Linked DNA regions of Neurospora crassa OR74A. The main gene of each other region encodes a partner of the protein of the gene in region 2 in a complex. Links are inferred from orthologs where the notes say so. Each region holds a gene or a part of one and is shown on either strand. Other genes may lie near its edges.

What was found. Proteins that work in one complex are often made in the same cells at the same time.
Region 1: the proteins of NCU02414 (region 2) and NCU01468 are in contact, whole or in part, in a crystal structure (PDB 5B04), measured with the Schizosaccharomyces pombe proteins. The link is inferred for Neurospora crassa OR74A from reciprocal best matches to the Schizosaccharomyces pombe genes tif225 and tif224. Residues at the interface, in NP_594285.1 of Schizosaccharomyces pombe: Lys267, Glu268, Tyr308, Arg310, His311; in NP_594503.1 of Schizosaccharomyces pombe: Arg295, Tyr331, Ile332, Gln334, Glu335, Glu410, Lys412.

What each region holds. Positions count from the first base shown.
Region 1 is NC_026505.1:4,638,663-4,642,696, reverse strand, and holds NCU01468 (translation initiation factor eIF-2B subunit delta), read right to left. Parts: upstream 2,726-4,034; 5' UTR 2,411-2,725; coding exon 1,859-2,410; intron 1,803-1,858; coding exon 963-1,802; 3' UTR 508-962; downstream 1-507. Other genes in the region: nuo10.4 (NADH:ubiquinone oxidoreductase 10.4kD subunit), read left to right, coding at 158-402; NCU01469 (hypothetical protein), read right to left, coding at 3,248-4,034. UniProt on the Schizosaccharomyces pombe protein: Acts as a component of the translation initiation factor 2B (eIF2B) complex, which catalyzes the exchange of GDP for GTP on the eukaryotic initiation factor 2 (eIF2) complex gamma subunit.
Region 2 is NC_026507.1:2,573,189-2,577,254, reverse strand, and holds the start of NCU02414 (translation initiation factor eif-2b epsilon subunit), read left to right. Parts: upstream 1-1,261; 5' UTR 1,262-1,483; coding exon 1,484-1,642; intron 1,643-1,726; coding exon 1,727-3,808; 3' UTR 3,809-4,066. UniProt on the Schizosaccharomyces pombe protein: Acts as a component of the translation initiation factor 2B (eIF2B) complex, which catalyzes the exchange of GDP for GTP on the eukaryotic initiation factor 2 (eIF2) complex gamma subunit.

The sequences.
Region 1 (4,034 bases), on a different chromosome or scaffold from region 2:
CATCAATCCTCCACCAATTGATACTCCACATGCTGTCACAAACGCCCATATTCCTGGCCTATCTGTCTTACTCTCTTGACTCTCTCTCTCCCCCTCTCTCCATCTTCATGTCCACATCATAATCGCTAACTGCCGCCTTCCAACTCTGCTCCTTCAGGCTTGGCTACCCGCGCCTGGTCATTGGGCATCGAGCGACGACCCATCCTCGGCAGGAACACCCTCTGGGGCTACCCCGTCTTCGCGGCCATTGGCGCCAGCTTCGGCTATTGGGTTCAGGGAGTGGACGAGCGACAGCAAGCTATACTTCAGGAGCGCAAGCAGGCCATTCTCGACAAGAGGGCGCGGAGGGCGGCGCGGCAGCAGGAGCAGGCCCACGGTGAACCCGAGGCGGCGGCGCATTAAAAGGGCTGATACGGATTCTCAAAGTTCCCGGTAAAACGGTACGGGGCGAGGGAGAAGGATAACCGACATCGATGGACGCCGAAATGGGATGGGGAAGTCTGAGAGTGGGACCTCGTGGAATCACAGTACACTGGGGAAGAGAGAAAGAGGGACGCAAGGGCAGGTAGATAGATGGGCAGGAAAGGGAACCCACAGGACCTATACGGCACGCCCAGCTATTGAAGAAGAGAAGTCAGCACATGATAGACATGCTACAGGCAGACACAGCAAGCAGGGAAAGAAGTGTCTTGACAGTCGAGTTCGTTTGAATTCAATGCTCTGATCTCCCTTCCCGTTTTTGCCTTTCCCTTTCCCTTCGTCTTCTCCCTCGGTTATTTGCCCCAGGTTCGCTTCGCCGCAAACTATGCGGTCGTGTTGTAAGCCCCGTTTAAGATGCGGGTATCTCTATTTACCTACTCTAGCTCTGTGACCTAGCTGGCGCGCCACCACCGGCTAACAACTCTTGCAGTTTTCTGCCTATCTCCTTCATCTCACCGTCACCCTCTCCTATACTCTGCCGTTTAAGCAATGGTAGGATCCTCCCGCTTCCTTAACAGCGTCAAGATAGCCTGCGCCGGAGCGAAATCTGTACCGCTCTCAAACTCGGTAATCACACCCGCAATGTACTTGCTGTGTGTGTTATCAAACATCAGCCGGAACGACTCAGCCGAGCATCGCTCGGGGTCAATCTCGTTGTAGGTGAGCGAGTCCACCGACACACGCTCGCGGTCAAAGTTGATAGTCTCGCAGAGGGCCACCACCTTGACGTTGGCGGCAGAAGCGGCCATGGCGACGTCCGCCGTTCCCGCGGGGGCATGCAGAGATCCGTTAGCGAAGATGGCCTCGGTGCCGAGCAGCACGTTGCTCGCCCGCTCAAGGTGCGCCCGCACGCCGCCGAGGTTGGGCGAGTAGAAGACGCGGATGCCGGCCTGCTGTAGCGTCTTGGCGAGCTCCTTGCCGCCCTGGTCGTACGGGTCATCAATGACGGACACGGCAAAGCTTTTCCCGTTGGCCTTGGCCCGCAGAATGGTCTTCTCTACCAGCCGGTGGCGGCCGTACGTGAGGACGACGCCGTCCTCGTCGATGAGCTCGGCAGCGTTTTTGGAGATGACCACCTCGGCCAGGGTGATGCGCTCGTTGATAAAGATGTCGATAAACTCGAGGAGGGACTCCTTTGCTTCGTCCTCGGGCGTGTCGATGTCGAACTTGTTGACTTGGGACTTGAGGAAGCGGATGGCGTTACCCATGGAGAAGGACATGGGACGGCATTCGGTCAGATACTCGATCTGGGGGTTCAGGACATGCGGGACAAAGTGGCGTGACAGTGAGTTTCCCTTTGGTGTTTCGTAGGACTCAATCACCTATTGTATGTTTGGTCAGTCTCCAGTCCACACAGTCCGGGATCAAGGTTGCCAACCTTCTTGAACGCCAAAAGGGTCGCCTCCAGCCTGGCAATGCTATCCTTCAGCGCAAAAGTAGCCATCTGCTGGCCGACCGCCAGCACGGCAGGGTGCACGTCCTTGTGCGCCTGCGACGTCTGTATCCGCTTGGCCATGGCCACATGGCTAAAGCACTCGGGAATGCTACTCCTCGGATCCTCCTTGATGATGGCAACCGAAGGCCGCCTTCCGTTCACGGACGGCCTGCGACCGGGCACAGATTTGCCCTGTTGCTGAGACCCCGCGGACTGACTACCCTCCTGCTTGCCGCCCTTGCCGCTCTTGCCCCCCTTTGCATCTGCTACTGCGGCCGCTGGTGGGACTTCCTTCACTTCCTTTGCCTTTGCCCGTCGTGCTGCCTTCTCGGCCTTAGCCTTGGCTTTTAGCTGGGCGGGAGTGAGCTTCTGTTCGCCGGCGGCGTCTCCTCCGGTAGTAGCTGGTGTGTTGGCAACAGTGGACTTAGCTTGTTGCTTCCCCTTCTCCTGTGGTGCGGGAGCCCCAGCGGGAGCCCCGGTGTTTTCGACAGCCATTTGTTGTTGTATGAAGTGGAAGATGCGATGTGCTTGGCGAAGTGTCGCAACTGTTGTTTAAAGATCAGATGGGATCCGATTGGGTGAAGGGCGCAGTAAAAATTGCGTCGCGAGTTGACGAGTACCTGAGGACTCGAGTGACAGACAATGAACAGCTCAGTTTGTGCTTTGAGATACAAAATAACTGTACCGATGCGCAGGGGGTGCTGATAGCGATGGTTGTCCCTTTTTCCCTCTTTCCCGTTTTGTTGCGTCAGCACAATGCTAACTCTCAAACTGCTCAGTGCAAGATCATCTGCCAGATTCTGAGAACTGAGTCACGGATGCGTCCAAGAGGTCGTACCGCCAAAAACACCACCCCGCGCTCCGCTTTTTGTCAGATACCAGCCAATCACCAGTCGCAGATTCCGTCCAACCTAGCCAACGTCACTCAAGAACTCAGCTTGTTGCTCCAGTTCGTTACAATTCATTAGCCGCCTCCTCACTTTGAGATACTACTTATTCAATATAGTCTCGCTCTCCCAAGATGTCTATGGCAGACAGCACACGGATCAGCTATAAGTCAATGCCTCACCGCTAGAGACTCACCCGCAACCCTCCAGCTTGATCGGTAAACTGTTTGTTATCTTTTAATTAATACGCAGACGTCGGACCTGAGTTCCGTTCTCCATCTAGCATTGTAACACATCGATCCGGTCCATACTTGTACATATTTACATAGCACTGAGAGCTGCACGCTGAAAGCGCCATACTCCCACTTTGCACGACCTCTATAACAACCCAAGCAAACCAACATATAACCTCGTATTCCGACAAGCTAGCCATCTCCAACGGCGCTTATTCGTCCTTCTCATCCTTCTCCTCCTCCTCAGCCGCTGCATCCTCCTTGTTCTTCTTAGGCGTAGGGCCTTGGAAAACCATCCTCACCACCTTCCCAACCTGTCCATCCATCGGCTTCACCTCCTGAACCTTGGGTACCTCGGCAACCGCCTCTCTAATCATGCGCACCACTTCCTGGCACTCCTCCTGCGTCGCCGTCTTCTTCTGCTTCTTATCCTTCTTTTGCAGCAGCATGATTTCCACCCTGTGACCCTTCCGCAAGAAATTCTGGAGCTGCCGTGTGCGGAATCCCAAGTCGTGCGCCGCAATTGCCCAGTTGATCTCCAGCTCCTTCTTGCTCACTTGCTTTCTGCGTTCCTCCTTGGCCTTGGCCTGCAGAGCAGCGGCCTCGGCGCGGCGGTCGACGATGACGCACACGGGCCAGTCGGGCAGGTTTTCGTCTTTCTCAGGCTCGGGCTCGCCGGGCGTGGGCTTAGGCGGCGCCCATACCATCGCCAAGCTGTATCGGATGCGATCCAGCCGGTTGATAATGTCCGCTGGCCGTTGCTTCTCCGTGAGCCTGCCGTCGAGGCCGCGCAGGTATACCCAGGGTTCTTTAATCGCCAGGTCGCGGGGCAGGCCGGCGTCCTTCTTCTCGTCTTGACCGGGTTTTCGTTTTCCCCATTTCACCTGGAGCGCTCCTTGAGTCGAGAATGGGCATCGTGTCTGGTTGAGGATGGTAGCAGTCGCGGCGGCAACTGAGAGGCGAGGAAGTAAAATCGTCTGAAGCAGCAGGGGTGCTGAA
Region 2 (4,066 bases):
CTAAGCGATAAGACCTGTCGTTTCCACTTTAAATTTGCTTTATGGTACGCCGGCTTTACCCTATTGGAATAGGAGATTTGGATTTAGTTTAATGAGACGTAGGTAAATAGCGTTACTTAAAGCTGTTATTTCGTTACCCTTTTTAAGGATGAGAAGGTTAGCGACTTCGTTAAAATTAAAATTAGAGTTCGGGGATGGATATTTTAGATTTACTTTATAGGTAAAAAAAAGGGTACATTCCTCTTTTGGAATTATAAGGATTGGGGTACGATTACTAGCGATATTTACTAGAAGTATGTCTTCCCTTTTCTGCGGTAATTTTGGTAAGAGAATTCGTTTTTTGTCGTTATGTAAGACAATGCACTAGCTTATAGTTCGAAGTTAACGAAGGTATTTATAAAGGATGCTTTTGTTGGCGCTACTATTGTCGATTGGCCGCCCTACTCCCTTGATTTTAATTCTATTGAGAACGTTTGGGCCTTTATGAAGAGATGGATTGAGTGTGAATACCTAATTAGACTGATTGGGAATAGCTTTAAATTGGCTATCGAGAAGGCTTGGGAGGTTGTATTAGAGGACTACTTACTTTGCTTAGTATATTTAATGCCTAGAAGGCTTGAGGCGGTTATTAAGGCAAAAGGCGGGTATACCGACTATTGATTTGGCTGAGGTTACGGTTACAATTGTGGTATTTGAGAATCCCTGGTTTTAGTATGTGAAATTGATTGATTTACGGTAGCTTTGTTGTCCCTGTTCTTCCTGTGCGGGCCTCGTATGCGTAATTTGATTGGATTTATCCCTAGTCGCCTCCCTTGTCAAAACCCCTGTATGTACCGAGCTAACGAACTTTCCAGGGCTCAAGTGTACTATTCACACTACTTAGTACCTTCCCTTTCATACATGTTGCCGTTTTTGTGCGGCCAAGGGAGATGCTAAGCACTATCGTGTTGTAGTGTACACGACTAGGACACGAAGTACTGTTCAGTGCCGGTGCTATGATGTGCTTGATGCGGCTACTTCAGTTGTCATGATCGATATGATGGGAGCCCAAATGCGGCTAGTGATTTCCAACGCCACAATTTTCCACTGATGAAAGTTACCACCTGTAAGGCTCAGTGCAGTTGGTACGCGGTACGGTAAACTTAAGGCCCCGATGGTACGTACAAGCCACAGGTGATAGCCCTGCGCCCCACCTCCAAGCATGCAGTACCTTACGGAAAACACAATGTGAAAGTTTGGACAAATTGGGTCACTGCGTTGACTCATCATTGCAAGGTTTTGGTACCGCACGGCGGCCGAGGCAGGCGCATCATCAACCCCAGCTTTGAAGTTCAAACGCGCCGTTCTTGACATTGTGCAGCCCCACCTTTTTCCTTCTACCACAGTCTTCCCCGCGCTTCCCGATCCGCGGCCACTTACTCAACCAGGCCCTCGTCGACCCATTCCTGTAGAGTTCGAGCTGATAAATAGACTTCAGTTGGCAATGTCGGGCAAGCAAGTCAGCAAGGGCGGGGCTGCCAATAAGTCCAAAAAGCCCGCCAAGGGCGGCGCCGAGGAGAAGAGAGAAGATGCTCTCCAGGCCGTCATCCTCGCCGATTCTTTCCAAGATCGCTTTCAGCCTTTCGCGCTTGAAAAGCCCAGGGTAAATGCCTTCATGCTTCGTGCTAAATGCTTCGTGTCCCTTGTCCCTGGTGACCTCTGAGTACTGACGGCCTTCTCCTGACAGTGTCTCCTTCCGTTGGTCAACGTGCCCGTTATCGAATACACGCTCGAGTATCTAGCCTCCAACGGCGTCCAGGAGGTCTTCATCTACTGCGGCGCCCACTCCGAAGACGTCGAAACCTACATCCACGACTCTGACCGATGGAGCCCTGAAAGCAATCTCTGCCCCTTCTCTTCTGTCGACTTCATCCGCGTGTCCGACGCAAGCTCCATCGGTGACTTTTTGCGAGATCTTGACAAGCGCAGTCTTATCTCGGGTGACTTCATTCTGATTCATGGCGATGTTGTCGCAAACATCCCCCTCGATGGTATTCTGGCTAGGCACCGCGCAAGGAGAGAGGCCAACAGAGACGCCTGCATGACCATCGTCTTGCGCTCAACAGGAGACAGCCCTCACCGGACTGCAAAGGCCCGGGGCATTACTCCTGTCTTTGTTGTCGACCCCACCAACGGCCGTTGTCTGCAATATGAAGAGATGCACCCACTTCAGAAGGACAAGTATGTCAAGTTGGACGAGTCGGTATTCGAGTATGCTGAGTTCGACTTACGCACCGATCTGATCGATTGTGGCATCGATATTTGCACGCCAGATGTTTTGGCCTTGTGGTCCGAGAGCTTCGACTACGAGCTTCCCCGCAAGAACTTCCTTCACGGCGTACTGAAAGACTGGGAGCTCAACGGCAAGATCATCAGCGCCGAGATTCTTGAGGAAGGCTACGGGGCTCGCGCCAGCAACCTTCAGATGTATGATTGCATCAGCAAGGATATCCTCCACCGCTGGGCGCTACCGTATGTCCCCGATAGCAACCTTCTTCACGGACAAACTTACAAGTACAAACGGGGTCTGTGGTTAGAGGATGGCGCACACATCGCAAAAAACAGCACAGTAACCAAATCCGTACTAGGGAAGACCGCCTATGTCGACACCGGCAGCACAATCTCGAGCAGTATCATCGGAAGGAGGTGCCAGATCGGAAAGAACGTGAGGATAGAGAACAGCTATATCTGGGATGACGCGGTCATCGAAGACGGTGCTACTGTTCTGCATTCCATTGTAGCCAACGATGCAGTCATTGGTAAGCACAGCTACATTCCTCAAGGCTCTCTCATCTCCTACGGTGTGCGGATCAGCGCCGGAACACAACTCTCATCCAAACCCCTACCGAGAATATCCCTCTTTACCAGTGAAAGAGAGCCGGTCAAGACCGACATCAAACTGGTCGGAAACGATGGCAAGGGAGCCCAATATAAAGAGCCAGAAGACGACGAGGATAGTGACTCCGAGGATGAAGGCGATGCGGACCCCGCAGTTCTCCAAAGCTCTCTCATTTACTCTTTGGCTGGCCTCAACATTTCAAGCGAGTCCATCTCCACATTAGCGACCCATGACTCCGATGATGACCTCTCGGATGACGAGTACGAGCAAGGCCTCCAAGCCAAGACCAACCGGGAGCGCCTATCCTCCTTCGCGTCTGACGATTCCGCTGCCGCCGTCATGAAGCTCGACCAGTTTCATGGTGACGCTGTTCACGGACTTGTAGATGCCCTCCGTGCTGACGACAACGAGGATTTCGACTCTGCGAAGCTGGAGTTCATGGGTTTGAGACTGGCCAATAATGCTTCGGACAGCATGATGCGCAAGGCCATTGCCGTAGCCTTTGCCACTCGCGCCGCCGAGCTCATGAGTCCCGAAAACGGCGGTCTTGAGCCTACCAAGGCCGCTGGCCGGGCTCTTACGTCCAAGAAGGGTGCCGTCAAGTTCATTACAGAGGTTGGCGTCGGCGGAAACAAGGTCGATCTCCACGCTGAGTTTGCCCTCGCGTTGCAGAAAGCTTTGGCAGCCATTAAGGGGCTTGATTCTGCGCGCGCAGGAACGCTACTTGCCGCCATGCTGCAGCAGCTTTATAACTTGGACGTTCTCGAGGAGGAAGGTATTCTCGCCTGGTGGGCGGATGCCAGGGCTGCAGAGAATGATACACTCTCCAAGATCAAGGAGAGGAGTCGTGTGCTGGTCGAATGGCTGGAGAATGCAGATGAGGAGGATAGCAACGAAGACAGTGATGAAGAGGATGAGGATAGTGACTAGATGGGTTATCAATGGAAGTGCATGCTCAAGAGGGATGGATTATTTGGAAGAAGGAAGCAAGGGTGGAAGAACGAAAAGGGGGAGGTGTAGATGAACTTATACCCGCAGCACCTGCGACCTCGAGATATTGCTTGTGTTCTCTTTTTGGGAAGGGGAGAATGGATGGACGGGAAAATGAAGGAAAATTTGACATCCGCATACTCCTCGCTCTCAACACATCTTCCTTTGTATGAGCACGAATGCCTGTGATAATTTTAT